Linked DNA regions of Mytilus edulis. The protein of the gene in region 1 binds, or shares a complex with, the protein of each later gene. Links are inferred from orthologs where the notes say so. Each region holds a gene or a part of one and is shown on either strand. Other genes may lie near its edges. The genes, in order: oligosaccharyltransferase complex subunit ostc-B-like and dolichyl-diphosphooligosaccharide--protein glycosyltransferase subunit KCP2-like.

Evidence for each region.
Region 2: oligosaccharyltransferase complex subunit ostc-B-like (region 1) and dolichyl-diphosphooligosaccharide--protein glycosyltransferase subunit KCP2-like share a complex: the UniProt entries of both Drosophila melanogaster proteins name them as parts of the oligosaccharyltransferase (OST) complex. The link is inferred for Mytilus edulis from reciprocal best matches to the Drosophila melanogaster genes CG9662 and CG31460.

What each region holds. Positions count from the first base shown.
Region 1 is NC_092345.1:45,471,670-45,487,247, reverse strand, and holds oligosaccharyltransferase complex subunit ostc-B-like, read left to right. Parts: upstream 1-7,937; 5' UTR 7,938-7,986; coding exon 7,987-8,125; intron 8,126-8,989; coding exon 8,990-9,063; intron 9,064-9,732; coding exon 9,733-9,950; intron 9,951-10,758; coding exon 10,759-10,777; 3' UTR 10,778-10,941; downstream 10,942-15,578. Other genes in the region: ZZ-type zinc finger-containing protein 3-like, read right to left, coding at 14,065-14,215, 14,917-15,017. UniProt on the Drosophila melanogaster protein: Subunit of the oligosaccharyl transferase (OST) complex that catalyzes the initial transfer of a defined glycan (Glc(3)Man(9)GlcNAc(2) in eukaryotes) from the lipid carrier dolichol-pyrophosphate to an asparagine residue within an Asn-X-Ser/Thr consensus motif in nascent polypeptide chains, the first step in protein N-glycosylation.
Region 2 is NC_092347.1:14,660,013-14,676,085, reverse strand, and holds dolichyl-diphosphooligosaccharide--protein glycosyltransferase subunit KCP2-like, read right to left. Parts: upstream 7,236-16,073; 5' UTR 7,177-7,235; coding exon 7,173-7,176; intron 4,168-7,172; coding exon 4,013-4,167; intron 2,904-4,012; coding exon 2,840-2,903; intron 2,265-2,839; coding exon 2,198-2,264; intron 809-2,197; coding exon 694-808; 3' UTR 638-693; downstream 1-637. UniProt on the Drosophila melanogaster protein: Subunit of the oligosaccharyl transferase (OST) complex that catalyzes the initial transfer of a defined glycan (Glc(3)Man(9)GlcNAc(2) in eukaryotes) from the lipid carrier dolichol-pyrophosphate to an asparagine residue within an Asn-X-Ser/Thr consensus motif in nascent polypeptide chains, the first step in protein N-glycosylation.

The DNA.
Region 1 (15,578 bases):
CCCAGTAGTTTCAGACGAGAAGATTTTTCTAAACGATTACGAAAATTTACGAAAATTGGTTAAAAATTGACTATAAAGGGCAATAACTCCTAAATTGGTAAACTGACCATTTTGGTCATGTTGACTTATTTGTAGATCTTACTTTGCTGAACATTATTGCTGTTTACAGTTTATCTCTATCTATAATAATATTCAAGATATAAATAACCAAAAACAGCAAAATTTCCTTAAAATTACAATTTCAGGGGCAGCAACCCAACAACGAAATGTCCGATTCATCTGAAAATTTCAGGGCAGATAGATGTTGACCTGATGAACAATTTTACCTCATGTCAGATTTGCTCTAAATGCTTTGGTTTTTGAGTTATAAGCCAAAAACTGCATTTTACCCCCTATGTTCTATTTTTAGCCATGGCGGCCATCTTGGTTGGTTGGCCGGGTCACCGGACACATTTATGTAACTAGATACCCCAATGATGATTGTGGCCAAGTTTGGTTAAATTTGGCCCAGTAGTTTCAGAGGAGAAGATTTTTGTAAAAGTTAACGCAGGACGACGACGACGGACGACGGACGACGGACGCCGTACGCCAAGTGATGAGAAAAGCTCACTTGGCCTTTCGGCCAGGTGAGCTAAAAATACTTGACAACTTTTAATTCGAATTACCAAGGCAAGGTTACGTCTAACGTTGAGATCATCGGTAAAACATTCGAGAAGAGAAACATTTGAAATAAACATGGTGAAGATGGTTACAAGGCAGAAGACGCAATGTGGGAGTTGTAAGGGAAAATCGAAAAAAGCTATTCTAGTTGATGGTGGAATTCATCCTCGGGATTTTATTTCACATGCATTTGTTTTGTACTTTCTCAATTTCCTAAAAACTACCCAAGCAGGATTTTACCTTGTCAAACAATTCGACTGGTACTTAATACCGGTCTTAAATCCAGATGGTTATGTATATGCCAATAATTTGAGCGTCTTTGGAGAAAAAACAGAAATCCTTTTAATGAAACATGCATAGGCACTGACTTGAATAGAAATTATGGAATTGGTTGGAATCCGGAAAACGGCGGTTCTAGTAGCAATCCATGCAATGAGCTGTATCCAGGTCCGGCCCCTTTCAGTGAACTAGAAAGTCAGGCAGAGAGCAGACAAATTTTAAAAAATTTGTGAGGGTTCCGCGGAACCCAGTGTCTCGACTACTATTGCTGTTAATTGCAGGCTCAACAAAAATGAGGAAAAAAATCAATAAAAATATTCCGCTTGATACTATCTTTTGATTGTAAGAAGCTTCTGTCCAACTTTGGAAAAAATCCAGGATAGCTTATGAATCTAATAAATGTTTTAAAAACTGTTAACTGGAAGAAAAACTAAGTCCATTTATAAGTAAAATACAGTTACACAAGTACAAAATATTCACAAAATGTCCTTCTAGATACTATAGCTTTTGATCATAAACAAGCTTCTGTCCAAGTTTGGTACAAATTAAAAATAGTATAAGAAAAATATCAAAATTTCTAAAAATTTAACCACAGAGTGAATGTGTTGTTTCCTGGCAAATCTAAGTCCATTTAAAGTAAAATACGGAAAAAATGGATTTATCGTTTTACAAAATTTACTTCTGGATACTATCTTATTATCATAAACAAGCTTCTGTCCAAGTTTGGTAGAAATCCAGGATAGTTTAAGAAAGTTATTAAAATTTTAAAAACTTTAACCACAGAGTGAATGTTATGTTTTCCCGCAGAAAAACTAAGTCCATTTATAAGTAAAATACGGAAAAAATGGAATTTTATTTTCACAAAATTTACTTCTGGATACTATCTAATGATCATAAACAAGCTTCTGTCCAAGTTTGGTTGAAATCCAGTATGGTTTAAGAAAGTTTTAAAAACTTTAACCACAGAGTGAATATTTGTGGACGCCGCCGATGACGACGACGACGACGACGGAATGTAGGATCGCTTGTCTCGCTTTTTCGACTTAAGGGTGCAATCAACAGTTTTTTACGTGACGTCATTCTGTAACAGGGCATGTAATAGTGGACCCATCATGCAGAAGTCAGATGTTCATAGTTATATAGATATCTATACATCAATGGAAAGATAATTCTATGAACTTTCTGAATAAATAAAAAAAAATCCAACATCTCTTGTTTAAACATGCAAATTGGTACAAGTTATCAGCTGGAAATTAGGCATTTTCCCCCTAAAAAACCTTAAAAACAGACCACCTTTGGACACACGGATCAGTAACCTGTGCATATATTTGAGATTTCTTATAATATGCATTTCGAAGAGCTTATCCGGCTGATTTAAGAAAATGTAGTTTCAGCCTACGTTCGCCTGCTCCGAAAGGAGCTATCTTACCTGACAAATCAAAGTGCTTTTTGCAACAGGTGAAAATCAGCTGTTTATGGAGTTGCCTCCCATATAGTAGGAAGTCACAAAAACATTTTTTTTTTAAAATCGAAGTTGACAAAAGTGGCATTTTAATTGAACTTCAATATATGTTTTTCATATTGAACATAAAAAACAATCAACTTTTTCATTTAGTGGTATATAAATAGCAGGGAATTCCATCAGTATGTAAATCTCACTGGGGAAATACCCCTAGTTTTTAGTACGAAACTGTTTATAGCACCAGCACCCTAAGTCGAAGGCTCGACAAAAAGGCTTTTATTGGTTATCTAAGTATACAACTGTGGATATACCCTTGGGGATTTACGACAGATCCGGTACCTGATAAATCGACCCTAGATAAATGTGCTAAAACCGCAGCATTAGCCGCGGCAGCTCGTCATGGAGTTGTGTATAATTGAGACAAACTTCACAGAGAGCTACATTAGGTGGTATTTCGTCAGATTATGCAAAAGCAGCAGGAATAAAGTTTCCGTTCGAAGTTTTGTTGCTAGACAACGGGACATTTGGACATCTTTTACCCGAAAATCAAATTATTTCAACTTGCGAAGAAACAACAGATGCTGTAATTGCTTGGGCAGACTGTGTCTGTGTCGAAATGGTGTAGATAATGAAGACTAAAATATTAAATTGTATCTGTTAAATAAATTTAGTCTCATTGGCAATCATGCCACATCTTCTTTATTATATTAAGTACGTAAATATTTTGTTTTTCATTTACTGCGGAATAGGATAACATAAAAAAAAAGTATGTGTTATTCCCCTCACGGTTCATTATAAAAAATTGAAAAAACATTGGCGTGTTTACATCACGGAATATACCCCGCGCTCTAATTTTCATAGCATATACCTATAAATATGAATAAATAGCTTTAACCAATGAATTCATATAGCAAAAGCTATGCGACTAACCGACACTTAAATCACAAATTATTGTCAGGTATCTATTGTCAATCAATTTTCCATTGTCAATCAATACAGCTGACTTCAATTATTACCTGTGGGGAAGTTCTCAAATCTCTTTCCCAACTTAGTTTATTTTGGCACCTTTGAGAGGAATGAAAAAAGTGCACTGCAAAATCCTGCTAAGTTTTTTATTTTTCTAAAACATAAAACATATTTGAAATTTAATTATCTAGGGCATGCTTTGCCTTAAAACTTTTTCCAGATGCACAGGTATGTCTGTACTCAGAGTAAATTTTGAGGTGTAAATACGGCCATTTTAGCCAAAGAGTCCACATGAATCTTAACTTTGAACAATCAACACGAAAGGATAGACCACGTGAAAAAATATTAAGTGAGATGATAGAGATACCTATTTGGGTAGTTTTTATCTTCTTGCGTTCTTTTTTGTAAACTGTTTGTGACAACATTTTTATAATGGCTTGGTGCTATTTCTTTTTCTTTCATGGTCGGGTAATACCAGAAGTAACTATAGATCTTTCACGTTACCTTTGTTTATGAAAGATGTTTCGGTAAAGGCTGTAACTGCATACACGGAAAAGCTGTCGCCTCGTTAAATTATAGTACGGGAAGTCCAGAATTCATATAATTAAAATCTCGAAATCACTATCTCTAAAAAAAGTACTACTTCTAGTAATGAAGTGTTATTTCTATCGAAAGTTATTTTTAAATATAATACAACAACAAGTACAACCATGAACATTGTTACCGACTTTAGCGCTTTCTAGTAGATTATCCCGATTCAATATAGTACCTTTCTTAAAAGCAACATCCTTATTATATATATGAGGAGCCTCGGTGGCCGAGTGGTCTAAGTAGCTACTACTGTAATCACTAGTGTATCAACACTGAGATTGTGAGTTCGAACCCCACTCGTGCTGGTGCACTCTACTCCAATCTTGAATGACTAAAATTGCCAGTTTTCCTATCGAAGGTCGGTGGTTTTCTGCGGGCACTCCGGCTTCCTCCGCCAATAAACACTGGCTGCCATGAAATAGCCTAAAATGCGGAGCTTTAAAATAGTGTTAAAACACCAAAAATAAAATCAAATCCTTATATATATATGACAAAGAAAATCCTGATATGAAATGAAACTCCTGGAATATCTTTGTATACCGGCCAAACTTCAGGTGCTACTTACTGGTAGTTTGTTATACTTAAAATAGAAGTTTTAAGACATAATATGTAAACTGAAATCATCCCTAATTAAGGCTTCTTTCGTCATGTTTCGCAAATAATATGTAAATATTTCTCTTAATTTCAGTTGACGATGTGAACATTCTAAATTTTTTAATTTTAGTTTCTTGTACATATAATTCGGAGTTTAGTATGACGTCCATTATCACTGTACTAGTATACATATTTTTAGGGGCCAGCTGAAGGACACCTACGTGTGCGGGAATTCTCGTTACATTGAAGACCCATTGGTGGCCTTCGGCTGTTGTCTGCTCTATGGTCGGGTTGTTGTCGCTTTGACACATTCCCCATTTCCTTTCTCAATTCTATTCCTCCAGTTACACTATTTAAATATACTAGAAAAAAAGCATTTAACGTGATATTTTTCAATTAACATATACAGTGATACAACAACTCCATTTAATACACCATTGAGGGGGTGGGGTTGTAGTGAAGCGCTGGATTCAGAGGATGGGTGATTGGGCGAAGAGGGTGTAATTCTTTAATTGAGAAAGATATATTTTTTTTAGCATATGATAGTCTCAAAATATTTTTTACATGCATAGTTTTATAGAATGACGCCCTCTTCTTTTCAAAAATCCTTGATCCGCCACTTCTGTTATCTGGAAAACATACACGCCTCCGGGTGCGGGATTTTCTCGATGTGTTAAAGACTCGTTGGTGACCTTTGGCTGTTTTCTGCTCTTTCGTCGGGTTATTGTCTTTGACATATTTCCCAGTTCTATTCTCAATTTTATACATTTGTAAAGTTTTAGCAAACGCTTAGTATCATTCGGTCCATTAGATCAAATGTAGATTATGAAAAAAAAAATCAACGGCGGAAGTCGATTTACGACAAAGCCTTTCCACCGGCTACTAGTATTTGGAATGGCTATGTACAATGTTCAAATAATGCCATTATGGTTGTCAATTCGTATCGAAAGGGTCATTATAGAACTAAAATGTTTACCTCCTAATTAAATTAATGAAAAGGATCAGACTAGGTAGCATCTGGAAATATTAGTATGTAACAACTTATTACACAGGGCTGTGCTTTCTACCAACGGACCCTGTGGTGGAAGCTGAGAATATTGTGTGAAAGGTAAACGGACCCTTAGTTTTTATAATGAACTAATATGAAAATAAAAAGATTTTGCGTGATTGCCGGCAAGAAGACTGACAACTATCAAGATCTATCAACCAACGTTCCAATTGATGTAGACTGAAAACAATTGAAGGCCACCGTACGGCCATCATCAATGAAAAACCCCATACCGTATAGTCGGCCATAAAAGGTCCCAACTTGAAAAGTGAACCAATTCAACAGAGAAAACTAACGAAATAATTTATAACAAAACAGTTCACTAAAAACAAATATGACGGACATAAAACAACGACATCCATTGGACATAAAACAACGACATCCATTTAACTGTACAGGATCAAAAGTGCAAGCACTAAAATATACAGGAAAATATATAACATTGAAGTTATCCCTTCTTTTATTCTTATATTTGAGAATCTTATAAATGGACCTTATACAAGAACACGACAGTATACGTGTACATGAATACGAGTTTGATTTTGTACAACGAAATAAAAGATGAATTGTATTCTGTTTGTAGGGTTCTTATACAAAATAAATGTTCAAACAGTTCATATATAACATACTTTCCGTATAGAATAGATTTTTTCAACCTAAAATAGGTAAACAGATGTGTTACTTTTCATTTAGCCGACGCAGCTCATATGATGCATATATTGCACAAATTGGACGAAACATGAAATTATTCTTGACATATTTTTGTCTCCAGTCAAATTCATAAAAAGTATGTATATGTATATGTAATTATCAAAGATAGAAATTTTAACTTCATAAAACTGAAAAAAATACAACTTGAAATGAATTCATAGACGCATTAAAAGTGATTATACAAGAAAGTCTAGAAAAAAATTTCTTTAAACAAATATTGACCAGAAAATAATAAATCATACAGTAAAGTTAAAAAGAGTTATGAAATTGAACCATATTTACTTCATGATAAAACGATAAGATCAACTTGATAACTTTTGAAAAAGCTAACGGCCGCAGATTGCCAGCTTATTGAAAAGGGGTGGTTTTATGAATTATCATCCTGTTAAATATATAATTGGATCGATTTTTTAAAAACTATCTTTAAAATTCGAGTCTCATTTTTCGTGTTTTGTGTTTTTAAACTTGATCATGTTGACTCAAGAAATGTTCTTCATAATTCGTTCTATTTGAGAAAAAAAAAAAACAGAGTTGACATAAACATTCTTGAACTTCTCTTTTAATATTTCTGCACCACCCTTTAAATTTCCAAAAGATAGTCTCTTCTTGATACATATATAACTGCTTACTAATGTCTACGAACACAAAGACAAAGGTTCCTGGTTCGATTCCTGTCTGGGATGAAAATTTCAGGGACTGAGTTTTCGGCTCTCCCTTGACACCATTTGCGAGTATGGTCTTGAGGAAACGATTGCAGTCCGTCGGAAGGGGACGATAAATGGCTGACCCGTGTTAAGAGAGAGCCATATATCTCTTGCACGTTAAAGACACCCTTGTAGAATTCGAAAAAGAGCAGGCTAATGCCGCTACAAGGCAACACTCGCACCCGCAAAGTGGAAAGGGATAAATATAATTTGCAAAACTTGTTTCCCAATCCACTATAAATAATAATGTTTAAACTAAATAAGTTTGTTTTACATTGTACCTTACCTTACCAGGAAATCTTTCTCCGTCCACTTCGGGACAACCTCATTTGAGTAGTCAATATTCCGGCCACCACCACATCTATGTACACTATTTTACACACATTATCGGTAATTATATAATACACTTGAGTACGGAGATATCAATGTTTCATATTATCTTCCACGCATCACTGAATTAGCAATGTTTAATTTCCATATTATACGAGTATATACAGTTCACTATTTGACAGGTATGCTCTCGGCACAACAACAGTATAAATACGGGAGTACCGATGTTCGGAACATGTTATCAGTTCATAACAATGAAATATCCTCATTTCCTTTTAATATCTAAAGATCGGTATCTTGCTATATGTAACGCATACGACATTTGCCTGCATATTGCATCTAATTTAACAATATTTTCACTATTTCCTTTTAGTCCAGTATAGTGCAACGTACAGTCCAGAATTATTTGGATTTTATCATGACTGGAAAGTGTTCTAAGGTTGTCTTTCGATATTAAATGTAATATTTCATCGATCTGGTGAAAATATTTTTGTCGGATAGGTTCTAGAATTTGACAGTCCAACAGGACAGAATTGTACCGGTCTTTTCAATTTTCAATTTGTTTTCCTTCTTTTATTCATAACCGAAAGCCGGCATTTGTATACTTCCGGTTTGTTTGCCACATCAACAAACGAAAAAGCATGGAAGCAGTCTACGCTCTACCTTACCAATTATTGGTTTGTCCAAACCTGAAATTGAAGCGTCCAACATGGCTTCGACAACCATCAGCAATGACTATGTTTGCTTTTGTCCTTGTGTCTTATTTCCTTGTAACAGGAGGTATAAATGTTAAAATATTTTTTGACTGAAACTTCAAAATAAATTAAAAAAATAGAATGTTATGATTGTCAACGAGACAACTCTCCACAAGTGGCCCCATGATATAGACATTAACAACTATATGTCAATGTATGGCCTTCAACAATGAGCAAAACTGATATTGTATTAGTAATTTGCAGATCGTGACTATGGACATCACAGGCCCATAAAGAATGCGGCAGGGTAAAACATGCTTGCTTTCATCAAACTCTCTCCTAACTGAGGGTATCGTTGCCCTTTACCTGTTACTCATGTGTCATGGTTATTTATGCTACAGTCCGCGTCAAATTGGTTAAAATTATACGGTGATTCCTCGAAATATCCTTGACCTTATCATAATTTGTAAGAGGTCTCAAATAATTATCGTTACTGTTGTTACAAAAAAAAATAGGCATGATTCTTCAAAATCAGTCAATTTTTTTATCTTCGAAAAGAAAGTGTACATTTCATCGTGAAGCAACAAAAATAACTGTTAATGTCTTTGGGCAAGAATTTTGATGGTTATTCGTCACAAAGATACTCCCAACACTACTCTCCTAACTGGGACAGGGGTGTAAAAGTACAACATAAAGACAATTTATTTAAGGCTGAACTAATAGGACCGAAACAAATAAAAACTAATGCATGTATAAGACTCAAATATCAATCAGTAGTGGTACACATTCAATGGATTTAGTGTAAGGACAGATTGCAGTACTGTGAATGTACATGCATATATCTAAAGAAATAGGGGTATTAAAGTAAGAAATGATTGTGCATTTGTTTTTACATAAAATGTTCATCACTCTCATTTGTATACAAATATTAATGATTTATTTTTTTCAGGTATAATCTATGATGTGATTGTGGAACCACCAAGCATTGGGTCAACAACTGATGAAAGAGGCAACTCTAAACCCGTAAGTTTAGCCTATCTACATTGATGTACATTGGCTGTTGAAACATGATATTTGTAGTACCAATAGTATCACTATATGTATGTGAAAGCTTTGAAACATTACATAAATCAATTTTTAGGTCACATGAGGTAGCCCTGATGTTCAGAGGTGAATATGAAGTTAGAGTTCAATGTCGGATAGTCTCAACCAATCAAAAACATACAGTGGAATAATTCCATTTATACAATAATAAAAGAAGATACCATAAACTTAGATTTGCCAATGTCTGTTTGGACATCAGTGATATTACATGTATAATTGCACACTTTCAGTTCTTGTACATACAGGTATTTGAATGAATCATATACATATTCCTGCCATTGTCCATATAACATACATAAAAAATGACAAGAAGCTCTTAATAATACAAAATAAATAAACAATAATTAAGATTTTGAATAAATATATGACATTTCTTATATATTTCATCATGTTCATGAGTGGTATGGATTTTGTATAACAATGAGATTCTGTAAAAGCATCTTTAGAACCCTTAATTAAATGCACATCGTGAACAAGAACTTCAACAAAACTATAAAAAAAAAAAGAAGCAAAATACCATAGCAAAAATTATATTAATGGCAGTCAAATATTAAATGTCTAACGAAAGTTTCACATATTCTTTTTTAGGTAGCATTCATGCCACACAGAGTAAATGGACAGTATATAATGGAAGGATTAGCTTCTGCCTTTTTATTTACTTTAGGAGGACTAGGTTATGTTGTATTAGACCAAACTAATAAACCAAGTATGCCTAGATTAAATAGAATCCTTCTTTTATCCATTGGATTTGCAGCAATATTAATATCATTTTTCATGTCAAGAGTTTTCATGAGAATGAAATTACCGTAAGTATGATATATATTTATGGCTTATCATGATTATTTTATTCATCTATTATGTAACAAACAATCATGCACAAATGTTTGCTGGAATACTGTTGGAATAAAAGAATATGTAGAATTTCTTTCTGAAATAAAAATTTATGAGAATTTTTTTCAGATTCATATGTACCCTTTTGCATTTATTTCATTAGGCAAGATATTGAGCAGAAAAGAAATCGAAAGAAAATTATGAAAAATGATCAAATATATAAGAATCATGATCCAGCATGTACAACATAGATTTGAATACTTGTACTACAAAACTTTCATCAATAGCAAATAAACAAGTTCATTTGAACTCTGGTGGATAGTTATTTCATTGCCGATCATATATTGCATCTTCTTGTTTATATAAAAGTCCACAAAACACACAAAAAAAAAAACAAAGACAAAGCACCCACCTTCAACTATAGTAATTTCAGGTGATTAAAAAAGCTAGAAGATTTGAAAAATTTGTTATCTTTTACTTATCTGTGTTCATTTTGTGTGTCTGTTAGGTCTGTATTAGGTTTTAAGTTTTGGTTTAATGTAGTTTATTATGAAGTTAGGTCACATCAATTTGAAACTTAGTAGATGTGATCATAATGTTGTAAACTATCAAAAAATATATATATATGCCAAAATAGTTTTTAACCATATTTTATGGTAAACTGAACATGGAAAGGGTCTTGTCTGAAGGGGTCATGGTATCCTATGCCCATTGCCCACATCTCCTTCTTTTGTATGTTACATCATCACATTTGATAACTTTGTCTTTTATTTCTAATTTCAGTGGTTACTTACAGGCATAAGATCTAGAGATTCCATGTGCATTCCATCAGCCTTGATACATTTGTTGACTATGCAGAAACAGTTGATCATGTGACATTTTAAAGAAAAAAAATGATTATTTTGTATCCAAATTAAAAAGTATTTGTGATATTTGTTAGTTTAGTATAATAAAAACTTAAAAGAATTTAGATTTATTAGATATAATATCATGGTTTGTTAATCGTTGGAATTCTTTATGAGAACCTACAATACAAAACATCTCTTCACTTATAGTGATTCTCAGGTGAATATAGACCATTTTCTTATTACTGACTTTCAACTCTGGAGTTTAAAAGATTTCAGCATGTTGCATAATCAAATTGCTTTTGCACTTTATAGAAAACATAATCAGTTAATTTTCCACAAGAATTTCCTGATTGTAAGCTTTGCTTTTACTTGTTTTAGTTGCTCAATCTTGGCCTAGCACCAAAATGTCACACACCAGAGAAGGTAACCTGTTGATGAATTATAAATTCTGGGTTCAAAAATTTGTAATATAAAAATGGTCTATTAAGTAAAAGCAATTCTGTGTCATGGAGAGTAAAATGATGAAAAATATGTTTATAGTGTTGAGGACTTGTGATTGATTAAAGTTAGACTTGACATAAGCTTACACGTTTTAAAACTGTTAAAGACTGTATGATAATCTTGGAATGCCTTAATTTAATTTTTGGGTTCCCCTTTCCATTTCTGGAGTTTGCTGGACATTTCACATAATTGTTGAAATGGATGAATTTACCCACTGTTGGATTTTTTTTAATTCTGCAATATATGTTTTTCTAGAGTTATGGGACTTTGACTGTTATATAAAATAAAATTATTTCCCTAAATGTCGCACTAATGATGATATTGTTGGCTTTTTTCAAAACTACCTCTACCCTTTTTTATTGGGAAAATATGCGTCATTTTCATCAAATTGGGAATAAAGTAAACCATGAATTTGACTGAAACTTCAATTTACAGACCCATTTTAAGAGTCAAACCCTGCTTTAAAATAAGACCCCATTTTGTCAGTATGATACATAAATATACCCTCAAATCTGCACATATAGTCATTTGAGGCATGAAAAAATTTTTAAATGAGTGTTTTTCAGTTTGTATTCATGCACAATTACTACTGAGATTGCACTGTTTTGGAAAAAAGTTGTCTTTTTGTGAGTAATTTTAAGCCATTTTTTTTTCAAATTGGGATTCTTCTCCAGGGGTAAAAGCCTTTATTCTCCCTTAATTTAAGGCAAACAATATCACTGTTAAATCATATAACTCTGGAATGCTTGGATCAAACTCATTGCTGTTAGAATTGGTGAAAGTAGACTCATTGTTAGGTTTAGATTTTTTTCTGGTTGGTCTTTCCAGTTATGACAGTTATTGTATTTCTTAAAAGTAATATTTGACACAATAGTATTTATTAATACTTGCATGTGTTTCTATTTCCATTATATTTGCTTCTGATTACAATAGAATGTCCTCCAAACATCCCATTTTTTGCAACAATTTTAAGATGTGCACTGAAAGATGTATCATAAACCCTTAGTGAGTATTTATTTGTCTCAAAATATGTATCCCACAAAAATGGGGGGTAATCTCAGGTGCTCCAGAAGAGGAAGTCAAATCTGCTCTACATGTGGCACCATGATAAAAGACCTGGATCCTCATACTTAGTATATTGATGCCTTATATTATGAAGTTTCTGTCTGTCATATGTCCATTTTCCTTGGCCTCATTTTCATGGGTCAGTGACAACTTGGAAAAAGGTGAAGATTTTGAGTAATAGGATATCTATATTTGATGTGTACCTTGCATGGTTCTCATAACCGTCAGACAGTTTTCACTTGACCTCTACTTCATTCCATTGATCAGTGAACAAGGTTAAGTTCTCATGGTCAAGTTAATATTTGAGAACTATAAGCAATACCTCTACTATATTTGGTGTGTGGAATGATTGTAAGGTCAAACTGGTAGATGTCATCTGATAGTGACCTCATTTCCATGGTTCTGTGGTTTAAGTGAAGTTTTTTTGTGTTTCGGTCTGTTTTTCTATAATTGTATGCAAAAGTTCAACTATATTTGGTGCAAGAAAATATTTTATGCTGTTCATGTCAGTCTGGCATGTTTAATTTGACCTTGACATCATTTTAATATTTAATTGCTCAATGGTGAGTTTTTGTGTTTTGGTTTGTTACTATAATACTTTAAGCAATCAAGGTCAACTTTATTTGGTGTATTTTAAAATGATTGTAAGATGTATGGCTGTTGGGCAATTGTCATCTGACCATGACCTCATTTTTATGGTTCAATAGTAAATATTTCCTGGCAATGTTTGTTTCTTTGGCCATATAAAAATATATGTGTGGTTCGAAGTACCCTACATACCCTACTTTTAGTCTTAATATTAGCCTACCCTAAAAGATTTTTTGGTCATTTTTCATTAAGCACTGTTAAAGTCAAAATATTGCTCCCATAGCCTCAAGGTAAATAAAAAACATAAAATTAAAAAAAAATCCCTACCTACATACCCTAACTTTTTTTTCAGATGTAACTGGAACCACACATACTATTTTATTTGGCCTTAAGATATTATATAAAATAGGTCAACTATATTAAACCATGTAATCATTCTTATATGTGCAAAAGGTCAACTACATTTAAAACATATTTGTTGTAAGGTGTTACTGTTTAGTAACATGTATTTCCAGTTTGGTTTATCTGACCTTGGCATCATTTTCTTGGATCATGTTAAGTTTATATGATAGTTGTAGTAAAGCTTTATATTTGGGACTATCATCATAAAATCAATGGTTAGTAAAGAAGGCGAGACATTTCAGTGTGTGCACTCTTGTTGTTTGGTCGTCGTGTGTTTTCTTGGAAACTAAATTAAACTTTTCCTATATGCTGTCATTAGAGATTGCTTGGGTGTTTGAATGCTCTAATTGTCCAATAACAAACTGTGATGGCTTATTTCCAGAAGAGTGTTAAAAAGTAAAATAACAAAATAACAAACTTTGAGGAAAATTCAAAACATAAAGTACCTTCCCAATCGAAAATCAAAAGCTCAAATACATCAAACAAATGGATAACAACTATCATATTCCTGACTTGGTACATACAAGTTACGCCACCCAAATTTGAATTTGATCTGCTTTTGATCGTTATACGCCTTGTGTACAAGTTTCATAACATTTGGTTGTGGAAAGAATAAATTTGCGTGAATTACTAAACAACATACTGGTTAAGCTTGTTTATATGCAGACAAATAAGACAAGATGGTTTAGGTTGCAGGCATATAATTAGGATCTAGATAGTTATAATCTCCTGGCATGAATGTCATATAGTCTCTGTCTTTTACACATGTGTCTTTGCTGGGAAGTCTGATTGGTTTCAGTCTATGACTAGAATTATGTTTCCCTGTTTCAAAATTGCTGCAATGAAACAAATAAATATTTAATGTAAACGTTACAAAAAATGATAGAACAACAAAGTTAAAACTTTGTATTATACCAAACTGTAGTTGAAGTTTGACTGAATAAGGGTAAATAATGCTAAAAAAATTTAAGTTATAAACAAAAAGCTATACATGTAATTAACAAGAATGTGTCATTAGTAGTTGGTGCCCCACTCAAGCTATCATTTTCTGTGCTCAGTGGACTGTGATATTGGAGTCAAAAAACTACTTAGGCATTAAAATTAAAAAGATCATATCATGAGGAACATGTGTACTAAGATTCAAGTTGATTGGACTTCTACTTCATCAATAAATCCTTGACCAAAAACTTTAACATGAAGCAGGATGGTGGAATGAACAGATGCACAGACCTAAAAATATTATGCCCCTAAGTGACAGTCTGGTTAGGCAGCGACACCAATATATCAAATTATATCTGTGACTTCCTTGTTTCTATATTTATCAAGTAACCCAATTTCAACATGAACCTGAGTTGAACCACATTTAAATATAAACACAATGAAAACAAATATGTATTGCTCATTTTTACATTAAAACTATAACCTGAAGAAAACTCATTTCCTTGCTTGCTAGAAACCCTATTTTGTTAAAATTTCATTTTTTATTTATCTTGCTATTCATAGACATTTTTACTGAACTATTTTCACAAGTAGTTACCTGTCGACACAATCTTCACAGAAATCTACCTCCTCTCCTATAGGACAATCAAGACAATGCCATCGGGTATCTGGTATGGGTTCAACTTCACATTTGTCACACTAAAAGAATAAAAGGAAAGAACAACTGGCTAAAATGATATTTTACAGGTAAATATGTGGTTTTATTGGCTTCAGTATTATGCATTGACCAAACTAGAGTATACCAGGCCTGAAAAATTACTTCTACTCATTGGAGTTCGACAAAATGAGATTCGAATGTAAAACCATATGAAATAATTCTTTTTTCCCATGGCAAGTTACAAAACATACAGAAAAATCTCAGTGGTGTATTTTTACAGCAAATGCTGAATGATTCATCCTTCAATAGCTGTAATCATATTATAAAGACAAATTCAGTTTGCCTTCATATTGAATAAATCTTGAAAAATAAAATTTAACATAATCTTGAGATTTCCACAAATTTAACAGTACAACCAATTCATTCAACAACAACCAAGATGCAGGGGTAATGATAATTGTCCTGTGAACAAGAAAATAAATTACATATCTAAACAAAGACTGCATTAATGTTTTTTTCCTTAGAAATTAATATATGCAAAATAATCTATAAATATTTACAATTATGAAAACAACAAAATGTTTTATACTGTTGGAATGTAA
Region 2 (16,073 bases), on another chromosome or scaffold:
ATATTCCAATCTTTCAGGAACTACAACTGCAAAAATAAAATTCATTAATATCGAACTTGACCACCGTTTTGTCAACAGTAACAGCCTATCAAAATGTTAAAAGCATTGGTTGAACTGTTCATGAGTAATTGCATGGAAACCACTTAGAGTGCCATTTTTTAATCTATCAAGGACATAACTCCTGATTGACAAAAGTGAAAGACAACATCAGTGCCATTTTCAACTAATTAAGAACCAAAACTCCTGAAGAACAGTACAAGTACAAATCATCAATATTGAACTTGATCTCAATTTTTTTATAATGGCAGGACATCAGTAACACCATATTATAATGTATAGCATTAGTTGAAGAGGTCACAAGTTATTGCATGGAAACTGTTGGCATTCGATGTCAATATTCACCATTTTTACAACCAGATTTTTCCTTTTGAAAAACTTAGTTTAATTGCACACCCTAGGATTAATCAAGACCAATTTTAGTTTAAATTTGATTAAATGTTTTGAACATGTACAAGAATTTCTAGAAAAAAAAGTTACACATTGGACAGAAATGAAAATAACAACAAACACACAAAACTTAACCTTATCAGGTTATCCATAGTGAAGGCTTGCACTGAACAACGAAAAATTCATGAAATTTTCTAAAACAATTTTATAATTATCTAATACAAAAGATGGTCGTTGTAGATCCCTCTAACGCTTCTTCTTTCCTGGAGTAGATTTCCCTGTTGACTGCACAGCTACAGGAGCATGCACTTTCTGAGATATCTTATTGATATAATATAAAGCCACCAGTGAAAATATAAAACTGAAATGAAAAATGGAATTGTATAAGTTTTTCTTCAAGATATATTTAATAAGTTTTACAAGAGTGTCTGATATATCTTGATACACTGTCTAAAGTTATCATAGTATTCTGCCATACTGGAATCCATCCAGAGTTTTACTGAAAAGAGCATATTTGTTTTCAAAAATTATAATTGCTTTTAGAACTTTAACCAATACTGAGAAACTCACAAACTCATTTTTTCTTTTTTCTTATGATAAGGCCACAACAATTTAATTCTTTGTTCAACGGACCCGCCCGCACCTATTTTTTTCAAAACAGATTTTTTTTTTTTATATTCCTGCTTCCCGCATCCTGAATGTAATCATGTTCATTTCCCGCACGTATTTTTTGTAAATATTATAAAAAGATATCAACATTTGTTTTTAAAATCACAGTCTAACCTGTATATAACGATTTTAAACCTATAAGCACCCCATTACACTGTGTAGAAACCAATTTATGTTTTGACCATTTAATACCAGATATATATATAGTTCTTTAGGAAAATATGAAAAGTGTTTTTTACAAAAAAATATATTATAACTTATATTGACCCCTCATAAAAGGGATATTTATAACATTAAGGGGTTGTTCCCAACCTGATTATGACTTGGATAGAGAATTGTCTCATTGTCAGTCACACATACATAGACCAGATTTATTTATTCAATTATTTCTTGGTGAACAGGGAAAAAATACTTCATAAATTAAAGAAATGTCAAAGTATAAGTGATAAAAGTTTTAATATTGTCACAACCTACTATTTTATCCTCAACCTTTATATATGTTATGTATTATCATCAAATACAAGTTACATTTCAATATTATGAATGAACACGAATGCGGCCAATACTTTCATTTTAGATGGAAACTGTCTAAAATTTTACTTAAATGCTCAAATTGTGAAGATAGTAATTTAGCATGACTTAATGATGCTAGTACCTGATATATGTGCATTGTATTGTCGAAAACAGCCCATATTTATGTAGCAGAAGCATTCCACTTTCCAGTAAATAGCTAAAAGATTACATTTTCATACTTTTGTAAAACTGCTATATTTTGGGGCCAAAAAGGGGGTTATTAAACCTACTCCTTTGCAAATTCAATTTTTTATTAAAATTTTCAAATCGCTCGCTCGCGTCAATTTTTGCAGTCCAAAAATCCGTAGAACAAGAAATTAAATTGGTGTGGCCTAAATGTTTTTATATAAGACTGCATGTACATTCAGTAAAATATCCAAAGATAAAAAGTATATGATTTAGACATTCTCTTTAAATCAAAAATTAGATTGTCAAAGCTTTAATGATATAGTCATCCATGCCTAAAAACTGTATTATTATGATAAATGACAATAACTATTATGCTTACCAAGTTGTTACACAAACTCTGTGTATGAGACCAGAGGCAAACATGGCCATGGCTAAACAAAAGGCAACTAAAAATAAATAATGTGTCATAGTCAGTAAAAACATGAATAAAATCTATAGAATTTGTAAAGAAAAATTTCTGTTATCTTCCAACTTACATGTATACAAGTATCCCTATTTAACAGTTACAGTTAAAATGTACTGCCCTATATCTATTCGTGTGCATGCAGAATCTATCTTTTGAATTGTTTATGTGTTCTTAATCTGAATATCCAGGCATTTTTAGGCACTGGATGATAAAATACAAACCACAATCAATCAACATCAACAAGCAAAAACACTAATTCATATAAAAAACATAAATGATGAATACACACATTATTAGAGCATTTATCATATGTATATTTCTCTTCAAAGTACAAAATGTATTCAAACTTCAATTAAATTATGTATATATGTCATGTATGTAACTGTATGAACTCCATGAATTGTATACATCACAAATTAACAATAAAAGTATATTTTTTATATAAATTTCTATTAAATAGGCAATTCAAGAATGTTTACTTTTCAAAATATACTTGCAAAATAACACATATAAAACCACTCTCAATTCATAATTTATGTAAAATTAAAGACTTACCTTCTGGTAGAAGTTTAGTTTGGAATCCACTTCCAAATAATGAAGTTTCAAGATTACTGACACCCTGAAATAAGTGTTAAGGAAAATATGTGCATGTTTTGTGATCCTTTATCTTTGTAATTATATTCCCATCCAAACAATGAAATCATTTCCAAATGAACAATGGATATGATGGGCTGTCAGATTCAGCAAACCAGATTTTCCCACATGAAAATGAATTTGGAAAATCTGGATCTCAAAGCAGAATCAAGTAAAAAAAGATTTTCATCCAAATCATTTCAAGTCATGCAAGTTATTGCTTGGAAAACACTTTAGGTATCATGTTGCTCTACATGAAAGATCTATAACAAAAAAACAATAAAAGCTAAAATCATGATATTCAAAGTTTGACCTTCTTTTAGTCACAAGAAACAAACAATGCAACATATCTAATATAAATTTGATTTCGTCAAAGTTTTTTATTTATAAGTTATTGCACCAACAATGCTCCAAGTACAAATAAATAAGGAATGTGTCCAATGATGGCCCCATTTGTCTATAAAGTTAAAAAGGGATATAACTAAAGAACAGTAAAAGGGATGCTGCAAAATTTGCACAGGATCAGATTTTGTGGTAATAAGTATTGTGTACATGTTCATAATATTTGGATGAGGCACCTTTAGTTAGAAAATAGAAACAACAAATTCAGCAATTTTTACTTGTGTAAAGGAGCATAACCATAGAAAGGTAAAAGTGATGCCACTGTATTTCAAACTTTATAAGTTTCATAACATTTGGTTGAGGCAAACTAAAGTTGAGAAAACAGAAATCAATTTTGGGACATAACTTCTCATAAGGACAGATGTGCAAAGTACATGTACATGTTCATGTACAGCATTGTACAGACGGACAAGGATAAAACTTAATGCCCCGTCTGCTACGTAGGGGTATTAAATATATCACTTTATGCTACTTAAAGGGCTATAACTCATCAATAATAAAAGCTTCAATTATGAAATTCGAACTTGACCTTCATGTAGTCACAGGAAACAACATAATTTATTTTGAAAGATTTTCTCAAAGCGTTTTTAAGTTATTGCACGAACACTGTTTGACAGCTGCCGTCCCACCTAGCTATTGAATATTTCTTTATAAATTGCTTTTCAGTAAACAGGCAAAGACAGGAAAGGATACAGTCAAGACAAACATGAACACCATACTACCAAGTAAACCTCCTAGTATTGTCATATATTCTGTAGCTGCCAACTGTTGTTTGAACATCTGCATTACAGCAAACATTGACATACCAAGTGTCAGAGAAATCACACTCGAAATAACTGGTGATAACCCTGAAATAAAAAAAATAAAAAATTCATGGAGTGTGTATTTCTGTAATATCACACAGCACAAAAATTATAAACATGTATATAACGTGGGATTTTCAAATCTTTGTATTTTGTTAAAAGATACATAACAAAATTCATAATAAATACTTTTCAACTTTTAAATAATGTCTTTTTTGCTGGTTAATGGATATATAGAATCGGGGCTCGTTTGCCCAAAAACACAGTCTCCTGCTTTCACTTTCGCACCCTACATTTTGCACCCAACGTGTGTATGCACCCTTTTTGTACTGAATATTCAGAATCAATCTTAAATTAGGATTTGGTTGTTTTTTCATTGTTTCAAAATAAAGTGAGATCAAAGGGGCCAACCTGTTAAAAACAATTATCTTTCATGTTTTTTATTTAAAATCGTCAATGTTTTAATAGTAACCAAGCTAAATACAGTAATAAACATGATAAATACATGCAGTATATACATGTACATCAAAGCAAGTTAAAACAACAATCATGATTTTCAAACACACAACAATAATACTGAATACAATCAATGTATTTGAGGTGCGAACATGTAGGGTGCAAAAGTGTATTAGGTCTGAGCATGATACCTAGCTGCGAAAACATAGCTCTTAAGGTCCTTTTGATGATTTTGATATTTGCGGACCATAGACAAATGTGGCAAAAAAAATAATTTAAAGGACAATAGAGCTACACGTACATTTTCACAGCTAACCTGATACCATGAATATATATATAGTGTACATGGTGTATGCAAAAATATATGACAAACCTGACATGTAAACATAAAGAACAAATTTTATGTATGCTAAAAACAGAAAAACAAATATTTGGGAAGAATACAATATATTCAAGGGGACTTGTGAAAATACATTTGTACATGGATGGTACCATCTTGAATTAAACCCTCAATCTCGGGATCTAAACATTGCTAAAGGCAGGGCTCTAACTAGATGAGCCAGAAAAGATCTTCCCTGACATCATGAACATTAACTCAACCATATACAGGGATCTCCATGGATGAAAATTGAACCATGGAGGAACTTTTACCATTACAAACCATGTCTACGCTGTACAGTGTAGCGCGATCAGAAGTATTTTATCCCTCCATACAAGGAATGGTGAACATGCTAATTCATTGCTTATTTAAATTATATTTATTTGAATTTTCATTATAGAATTAGAAGTATCAATATGTTCATTTATTGCCGTTTTTAACCATTCAAATGCCAAGTCTTCATAGTCCCCCCTTAGTTGAGAATGACCAAAGGTGTCATGAAGGTCCCCATGTAGATTTCTTGTATTTTTGGTAATTGTTATGGGGGTTAAAAATCATATGATGTGGAGCTTATTTTTCGTGGACACTGTCAAATTCAGAACCCATTACCGGTATGGCTGATTTGCAGCAACAACAAAACGATTCGTACGGGTTATGTAAAAGGTTAAAGAGATTTGTAAAGCAAATGAAAAGGTTTTTAATGACTTTATCTGACAAATTGATGCTGTGCAACATGCATCTTTCGAGTCTGAATAGAAACCGGAAACGCGGATGTATCAATTTGATTGTAATATACGAAATGAATTCGGATTTACGATACGATATTTCTTTACAGGAAATATTTATAAGTTTTTACTTTTAAACTTTTAAAGTCATTCTAAATTATTGTTACAGCAGTACTCGAGTTATTTGTGATGAAATAATATTTACTGTTTTGCGTCTTATTCTGTACTTCTTAAAAAAGGGGGATGCTGATTGCGTAAGTCAAAATAAAGCACGTGTTCGACTTGTTAAACTGTTTTCTTTGTAACTGGATTATTAATTTATTTATTTAATCTAAATTATCATAATCATTTGCTGAACTTAGCTGATTAATTCGACAAATGGATCGTCTATCCTCAGATAGTATTCTCCTGTCTGGTTTGTTGATCTACCTGTACAAGCTCAGGTACAAGTGATTATAGCGATCTTAATCCGGATATCCCTCAGGTGTTAGAACTGTGTTGGATTATAACATAAAAAGCCTAAGGGTTATGCAATTACATGCATTTGATTATAATTGATAAAAAAAAATGGCGTCGGGCTACAAAAATGATGAAGTTTTGAACGATGGCGGAAGACAATTTAACGATGGCGCAGGACAATTTAACGATGGGGCGAGTCATTTGACGATGGCGCAAGACATTTGAACGATGGCGGGGCGCCATCGTTAAACAGGCCATGGAGATCCCTGCATATAGGATCTCCAGGTCTTCAACACTTTTCCCCCTTTTCTTTTATTGGGACCCCTACCATCCATCCGAGCAGGTCCAGCAGCTCACTGTACAACCCCGAGTCTTCCACTCGGAAACCCTCTGGACAGTTGTTGTGTCACCTTTACATGTCACAGTCATTCTATGACCTGGTCAATCTCATGACCATATCAAACTGTCAGGCATTTCGGGTAACATTCTGTCTTTACAAGTGTTATTCAGATATTTAAAACAGTGTAATTCAGTCATTCGAGGTACAGAGGCATTTATATACACTTGTGTGTAGAAGTAGTAGACGTTGCAGCACCAAATTTGTTATGTAAATCCATGGATGGTACCAGGGGAATAATATTCGAACCCTTGATCTCTGAATCTAAAAGCAGCACTCTAACCAATTGAGCCAAAATTTTTAATTAAGAATTGACATTTGTAAAATTGAACCAGAAATTTTTTTTGGCAGAAGTCTCAGAGACAGAGTTAGCTGCGGAACCGTAGCTCTTATAGGTCCTTATGTTATTATTTTACTACATATGTATTTGTGGTCCGTAAAATAAAAAATATGACCATAAGAGTTACGGTTCCGCAGGTAAAAGTTACTAAAACAGAGTACGATTCATCTACCCAGGTACATGTACATGAATGATGTAGATTAATCCGCATGCAGCGAAAACCTAGACCACAGTCAACGTCTTATCAGATATAACTGTTATAATTTGCAAAGTATTAACTGTTTTAATGTTTACCCATTTTCCCTTTCCAACTTTTGCAATGAAATAGTAAATTGCTTGCGTGGCCGGCTTGTCGATAACAGAGTTATCTTTTCTTGGCTAAAGGAAATGTCGTACAATCCCGGAATGGACAAAAGGGTGCGTATTTTAAAATATTTGTACAATTTTAGCTTTGAAAAAAGAAACTTGTGTTATTATTAGACCTTATTAATTTATATCTTATATATTCTGTATCAAACGACTTTTTAAAATCTAAATATCAGTAAAATTACCATTCTCCAGTTCTTCAAACCATGTTAATATTGCTTTAAATTTTTTAATGAGTGCTGTATGACAAGAATGTTTTGTCGGCTCGTTTTTGTCTAAATTCAAACTGCTGTTGTATTTATAATTTGTCTGTGAATTGCATATGTTATTGTTAATAATAATATTGTTTGTATGCTTTAAGCCGTCCTGGGGCCCTAATTTGGTCAATAAAAATATTCTATTATATTCTATTCTATAATTTGTACGTTATGAAAAAATATAAATTACCGTTGTTTAATTTTTCAAATTACTTTGACACAGTGATTAAAATTGAAATATGTCATAAATTGTTAAATTTTAAAATGATCAAAATCGAATGAAGCAGACCTACTTACTGAGGGGGGAAGGGCGCCATCTAGATTACCAACTTAAATTTTACATAAATTTTAGCAAACTCTTATATAGTTAGGAACTATTCCTGTACATAAACTAAGATAAGTCATTTTAAATCTTATTAAATATTGTTTCATTGCACTTTTAAAGATTTTTATAAATTAGTGTAACTCAGTCTTATATGCTTTACTTTTAGAGAAAAAATACTACAATCATCAAACACTAGAATTTAATGTACATATAATTCTTATATGTTTGAGACTATTGACTATGTAGCCTTTATCCATAATATTTTACATATATACAACAAATGGAAGTTTTAACGACCTTGACTGGCTATACAGCCCTTGCAAAGTTTTTAACGACCTTGACTGGCTATATAATACAGTTAAAGGAAGTATACAGCCTTAGCACGGTCGGTTTTATATATACAACAACAAATGGAAGTTTTTAACGACCTTGACTGGCTATACAGCCCTTGCACGGTCGGTTTTATATATATAAGAAGGAAATTAGACTATGATAAAATAAAGTAATACAGTTAAAGGAAGTATAAATATAAAAAATAATTTTCAACTTTTTAAAAAAAAAATTGTATAAAGGTATAAAAATAATGAAAAGTTATTTTTCAATATGTATTTGAATTTTATATTTTTATGATTTAATCTTTTTCACCCATAAAACGTAAATATAAGGAATAATTTTGAATGGTGACAAATAAGGGGAAGTAACTCTAGTTCAGTTTGTAAACCAATGGGGCAATTTATTTACGACCTAAAGCTAAGGTAATTGGTGTTAATTAACAGTGTGTTTGACACCAAAGCTGTCAAGTGAGGCCATGCACTTAATGGGCCACTTAATTTGACAGTTTACATAGCTAGATGAACTTCCTGTTCATGGAAGAATTACGAATTTGCCGGTATTTCAAAGGAATATTACTTCACGGCCGACACTCGGCTAACCGAGAGATTGGTCGGTTAATCTATATTGAGTATGCGGCTATATCGACAGTGGGTCTGTTAATCGGGTTGGCTAAAGTCTGTTAATCAGGTGTTATCGAGAAAATCATTGAAAACTCAGAATGTTTCATTGTATAACCTTTTAAATATATGTTTATCATAAAAAATATTTATGTCTGACAAAACTATTCAATGTACTGAATCCAGTGGTGTAATTATTATTTTTCTAGCTTCTATGTACGATCTATAAAATGAAAAGGCAAATTACTCATCAGTAAATTTATACACATTTTACACACACCAAATGTACACAAAATGACACTTGGGTTGAATTTACTTGCATGCACTATTTTGAACATCGAAAAAAGACAGGCATTATGAGTGTTAACCAAATTGATATCATTTTGTGAAAAATCTACACGAAAATCTGTATTTTGGTGACATAAATCAATCTTTATTAAAAACCTGGTCTGTTAATGGGTCGGATGTATAAAACCCGGTCTGTTAATTAGTCTGTTAAGTGTTATGAATGACAATAAAAGTATAATTTTATTACTTTATGGTGTGTTCATTTGGTAGGCTCAAGACGAGCGGCTAAAATATACGGAAACAACACTTGAGCAATGGAACATAAAATATATACGGAAACAAAACATGAGCAATGGAATATAAAATATACGGAACAAAACACATGAACAATAACAATGTAGGCAATGGATATTGAAAATTGATAAAAATGGTTTCAAAAAGTGTTAAATTAAGGGAGCTACCATTTGATTTTTATGGGGGGGCTAGGATGAAAAATTTTGTCCTGCATTTTTTTTTTAGCTGTAATCTCTGTCCTGCCTTTTTATTTTTCACTCTGTTCGGTCCTGCCTTTTTTTTTTAGTTTATCCTGACTTTTTTTTACCTAAATTGTCGTCCTGACTTTTTTTTTTTTGCAAGTGTCTCATCCTGCCTTTTTTTTTACTCAAAACTCCTTTCCTGCCTATTTTTTTCAAATTTCATCCTAGCCTCCCCATAAAAATCAAATGGTAGTTCCCTAAAGTAAAATTGATTTTATCCGAGAATGGTCGCATATATCATGTGGATTCTGTTTAATTGTCATGAATGACACCAATTTGTCATCTACCTTGGTAACCAGTATATAAATCAGAGATTAACGTCGTAATGTAACTAAACATCAGTATATTGGGATGCCTAAATATAAAGAATAGAGAAAGAATGAGGGGTAAGATAAATAAAATGTAGAGAAAAGTAACATAACCATTTAAAGAATACAGAAATAAACAACACCCCCCCAATCCGTACCCTCATGGTATACACGAGAATCTGGATGGAGATACAGAATACAAAATAAAAGATAAGGACAGTAGAGAGTGATGCATTGCTAAAAAAGAGAAGAAAACAAATTGTTTAAGAATAAAGACATGAAACCCCTCTGGGTGTTGAAACAGTAACGGATTGCGATGTACTCATATTGGTGACAAATGCTTGACGTTTACATGTGGACACCTGCAGTTCTCCTCTGCACATATGTAGAAAAGGAACTAGACGGAATAAAATGAATTAAATTTTAATACAACCAAATGTATCTACATTCGCTCCTTTCCATTTACTTCTTTAGAATGATTTGTAAACAACAGATGAAAAACCAATTGGATGATGCTGAGGGATTAGGATTAAGGTGGTACCGAACACTTTCACTAAAATCAATGTGGTTCGTTTAATTTGGATAAAATTTTGACAAAGTATTTAATTTGAATCTTTAACAGAAATATAAAAATTTCAAAAAATTTGAACCAACCGTTTTGTCATTAAAATTAACTGGTTATATAGCAGTTTGACAAACACCAATTTTGATCTTCGAGAAGCTTATTATTCCCTTTACAACACAACGCAATTAAAACGTATCACTTACTTTACAGAGTTATCTCCCTGTAGTGTTGGGTACCACCTAAACGTCCAGTGACAAATGTCATGTGCATATGAAAACGACAACACGTTATATATGTACCCTGTGTTGTATTAGAAAGACACGTTCAATCGGATTTGAGAACATGCTACTTTGAGCAGACACAAAAATTAAGGCTGATTGAAATCGTTAATAATAAATTCATGCATATTCCAGCGACCAACCCAGATCACGCTATATTGAAGTGACACACTCTTGAGTAAAATGCAAAGAAAGTCAAAATACAAATGCTTTTACTGGAAGGATAGTGTTGCATCGTAATATTATTTTTTTGTCGAGCCTTCGACTTTAGTCGAAAAAGCGAGACTAAGCGATCCTACATTCCGTCGTCGTCGGTGTCGTCGTCGTCGGCGGCGTCCACAAATATTCACTCTGTGGTTAAAGTTTTTGAAATTTTAATAACTTTCTTGAACTATACTGGATTTCTAACAACCTTGGACAGAAGCTTGTTTATGATCATATTAAGATAGTATCCAGAAGTAAATTTTGTAAAAATAAAATTCCATTTTTTCCGTATTTTACTTATAAATCATGGACTTAGTTTGTTCTGCGGGGAAACATTACATTCACTCTGTGGTTAAACTTTTTAAAGTTTTAATAACTTTCTTAAACTATCCTTAGTTTGTACCAAACATGGACAGAAGTTTGTTTATGATCATAAGATAGTATCGAGAAGTAATTTTTGTAATTAAGTAAATCCATTTTTTTCCGTATTTTACTTTTAAATGGACTTAGTTTTTCTGCGGGGAAACATTACATTCACTCTGTGGTTAAAGTTTTTAAAAATTTAATAACTTTCTTAAACTATCCTGGGTTTGTACCAAACTTGGACATAAGCTTATTTATGATCATAAAATAGTATCCAGAAGTAAATATTGTAAAAAGATAACTCCATTTATTCTGTATTTTACTTTTAAATGGACTTAGATTTTCTTCCAGTTAACATTACATACAGTCTGCAGTTAAAGTTTTCAAAACATTTATTAGATTCATTCACTATCCTAAATTTTTACTAAACTTGGACAGAAGCTTCTTACAATCATAAGATAGTATCAAGAGGAATATTTTTATTGATTTCATTCCTCATTTTTGTTGAGCCTGCGATTTACAGCAAAAGTAGGCGAGACACTGGGTTCCGCGGAACCCTTACAATATTTTTTTTTACTCAAGAACAACTCATTTTTAACATTTTCAATGGGAAAATATAAAGGTAGCACAACTATTTTCGTGGCTAAATAACTCTTAACTGACACAATTTCAATTGTCCAACCCATTAACAGACTTTATTCACATAATTTTCACTAAAACGTGGTATTACTCACGTTATATTACAATTATGAAATATTTACTAATGTCAATTTATATTTAAGAACCAAAGTAGTATTTTGTGTCTTTTAAATGATATCTAAAATTGTTTATTTCGCCTTTTATTAAAAAATTGCTATGCGTGTAATCATAAATACTACATACTTGCGCGACGCCTTTTACTTTTACTAAAAACTGCGCAGACTATGAAATGTTTTTAAAGGTGGAAAATGTTCTTTGATAGATATCATTTTGTCAGACACTTTTCTTTTTTTGATTTAATTCTTATAATATGCCAAAAATCTGTATATTTGATCGAGTTTAACATTAAATTGTGCGTTTTACTCTTAACAGACGTATAGCCAACCCGATTAACAGACCCACTGCCGATATAGCCGCATACTCAATATAGATTAACCGACCAATCTCTCGGTTAGCCGAGTGTCGGCCGTGTACTTATGAAATCAATCTCAAGGCTAAGAAATACGGGTGAAATCGGGTCATTTTCGGAATTCCCGGGTTTTTCAATGACCTGGCGGGTGATCCGGGTGATCCCTCAGAATTGTGAAAATCTCGGGTCACACCCGCAGAATACGGGTCAGTTGACAGGTATGTTTTAATGAACTTCAGTTAACTTTGACTTAGTATTGTGAAGATATTTTTAGACCTTTTAAGATTTTATCATTTGTGATAGCGAAAATTTATCATCATCTTTTATTTGGGATTTGGCATATTATTGATTTTCTCAGATTCAAAATGTGTGTGGGGATTTGGGATGATATTCTCACTTTAAAGCATGTATTATTAATCGAATACTTTTAAGGATTTGGCGGGATTCGTTAAACTGCCTTGATCACATGTAAAATATACATATTTTTTTTAACTCAGTTTGGATTCCAATACTGTTGTGTTTATAGCTTTTCATAGATAAAAAACAGACTATTTCACAGAGCATACATCATGTAACGCCTTCAGAAGGACACCTCCGGGTGCTGGAGTTTCTCGCTGCATTGAAGACCCATTGGTTGCCTTCGGCTGTTGTATGCTCTATGATCGAGTTGTTGTCTCTGTGACACATTCCCCATTTCCATTCCCAATTTTAACTATAAAAAATCCTTCTAGAAATCACAAATATAACATTGTTTATGCACTGAATAGTCGTTGATTAATAATAGCTGTAGCCTTTTGTTGAGATCAATACGAGATGATATCGACATAGAGAAACTTATCGATCTCGGACCTCCTCCTTAGTCCATATGCTCGAGTCCATGTCGATATTACCTTGAATAGACTTCATACAAATGCTGTAATTGTATATGGTACATCTCATTTCCATGAAGATTTATTGGCCCTTTACCTTCATTCATGGTTCATTGACTCGGAATCATTTGCACAACACAACTTACACTGATGTTAAATTATGCTATTTTAATTTCAAAATTTGCAATTTACTATCAAAATATCAAAAAGGCGAGACATATATTTGTGTTAACCAGTGTTAAAAGTTTATATAATTGGAAGGACTTGTCATTCATTTGTTAAAATGTCAATTCCCTGTTTTGTTATGGGATTAATATCCTTCAAAAGCCTCTTAAGAATTTTTTTTTTTTGATTATTCATGGCATCCGTATAAAATATTTTTGCTTTTATGATGAACGAATTTATTGGCTTGTTTTGTTCCAGTGTTTTTAATCATTCTGCAGTGTCTTTCTTTTTGTGAAATTAACGTCTTTGTAATTTGGATTTACAAATCTAATCAGTATACTTAACGGTTAATAATTATTTGTTTACGCGTAAAGTAACAACAGGAGCATCTTTATATAAAACATTGGCAAAATTGAAACGTCCGGTGTTAAACCTTTCTAGCGAGATATCATTCAAGTACCATTGCGAGCCTCCCATTGTCGACAACCAATCTAATTGCTAAAGATAACGTTGATAACCCATGTTAGGCTATAAATAACATTGGATATCTCGTTGCTCCCAAATGAACTTTGAGATTTACAGTAGAAGATAGTGAATAACAATAATCACAAACATAAGTTTTCACCGTTCGTCGCGAGATAACCACCCGTGGTCAGATGGAAATACATCATATAGACTTAAACCGTACTCATAGTGATAACGTAATAGGTAAGATAAGTATTTTTGTTTCATATATATTTTTTTTTTTTTTATCAAAAAAGCCTCCTTGTTTAAAACATTTATCTTTAAGACACTATTCATAGCCTCATACATGTACGTACATCGTAATTGAAACAAAAATAAACATATATAACTGTATGTCTGGGCTTTGAGAGAAATGTATAAGTCCCAGATTCTGTTGCAAAGTAGATCTTATGAAAATAAAATAGAATTTTATTAATGATTATTTATTTATTCATATTTCCTGGCCAGGAAAAAAGGGGGGTAAACAAATTATCGATTTCCCTTGAAAATACCGTAAGAGGGGAAGGAAATACGTCATTCCGTTTAAAAAAAAAGAAATGTTATTGTGAGTACTGTATTCTAGAATGAATAAAGAGATATCCCAAATATAGCTTTAGCAAAGAAACAGCAAAAAAAACACACAGGTGTCTATATTTACACACCCATCGAAAAGTTGTCATAAATCACGCATGTGGACACTGGTATTAATTAACGGCCAGTTTAAGAAGTCAAATCAATCTGTGAGTGTTTTACGCTCTAGATAAGAAGATTCAGTCGCAAAATTATGTCAGAAAACTGTTTTTTGGATAATTGTTATTGTAACAGGTTTAATATAATTAGATTTTGTAAATTATTATAAACAACACATAGAAATAAGTTTAAAAATATATGCAAATTTATAAAGGTTATAAATTCAGTAGCAGGTCTTCCTGGTTAGCCTTTGTCAACTCTCAGTCTGCTCTATAATAAATTTTTGTATATATATATATATTTATATAAATAGTAATTGCAACATTCCTATCTTAATTTTGTCATGCGCACAATTTATTGTGTATACTAAGTATCATTATTTCATTCTTTGTACATGTACCAATGTGTATACAGTGGTTTTAAAGAATAAAATTGTCTTGTCTGGTCTTGTCTTTATGAAATATTCAATCAAGCAGCTGGCATTACCATAATGGTCGGGTATAATATTGATTGTACTCGCGTGATTTTCCAATAGAAAGAATCAAGGTGTTGATTGTTACCAAACGATTTCATGTGTTTGTGTGTGGCTATTCTCCATCTTTGTGTTTGTATATTTTTGTTCGACGGAGATAAAGGACGAATACTGATCGAACTATAAGGCACATTACGGTAAAAACGAATATATTTATGGATCGAATAATCGATGACTAGGTTAGTATATAAATACATATTAGTTTTAACCTGTTTACTTATTAACATATTATTGATTATCGGATATGTTGAAATAAATCCCGGGTCTGACCAATAAGACGAAGATACTGATAGTACGTACCGTTAGTGGAAACTGCACTTATTGAAAATAACATATAACCCTTACTATTAGGCATTCAAAGCATATGATAGTCCCCTTAGCTAAATATGTTATCGATAGATCTAGAATATACTGAATATGATTTGATATCATTTACTGAGAGTTGGCTGAATCCAACTGTGAATTATATAGCCATTGTATTAATTATCATCATACATGTATAACGTGTTTCGCAATGATAAAACTAATCGCATCGGAGACGGCGTGGAAGTGTATAGAATAGAAAATATTAACTTAACTGGATATATATGCGTCTGGTAAGAACTCAAATAAAAAAAAAATCTTTTTATATTGAACAATTTACATACCCCCAAAATAGTTCACAACATGTGATGTTAACATTAAGTTGACCTTGCGTTTTCTCTCAGCGATTCAGTCTGCAAAAAAAAGACAATATTCTTACAGGCGATTTTAATTTTAACATGTTTAACAAAAATGTAAAAAATAAAAAAAAAATAAAAAATATTACAAACTTAATTACTTACTCAATTTAATTTGTATCTGTTAATTGAAGAAGAAGCATATTTTCCTGAGAATAGCGCGTCAAT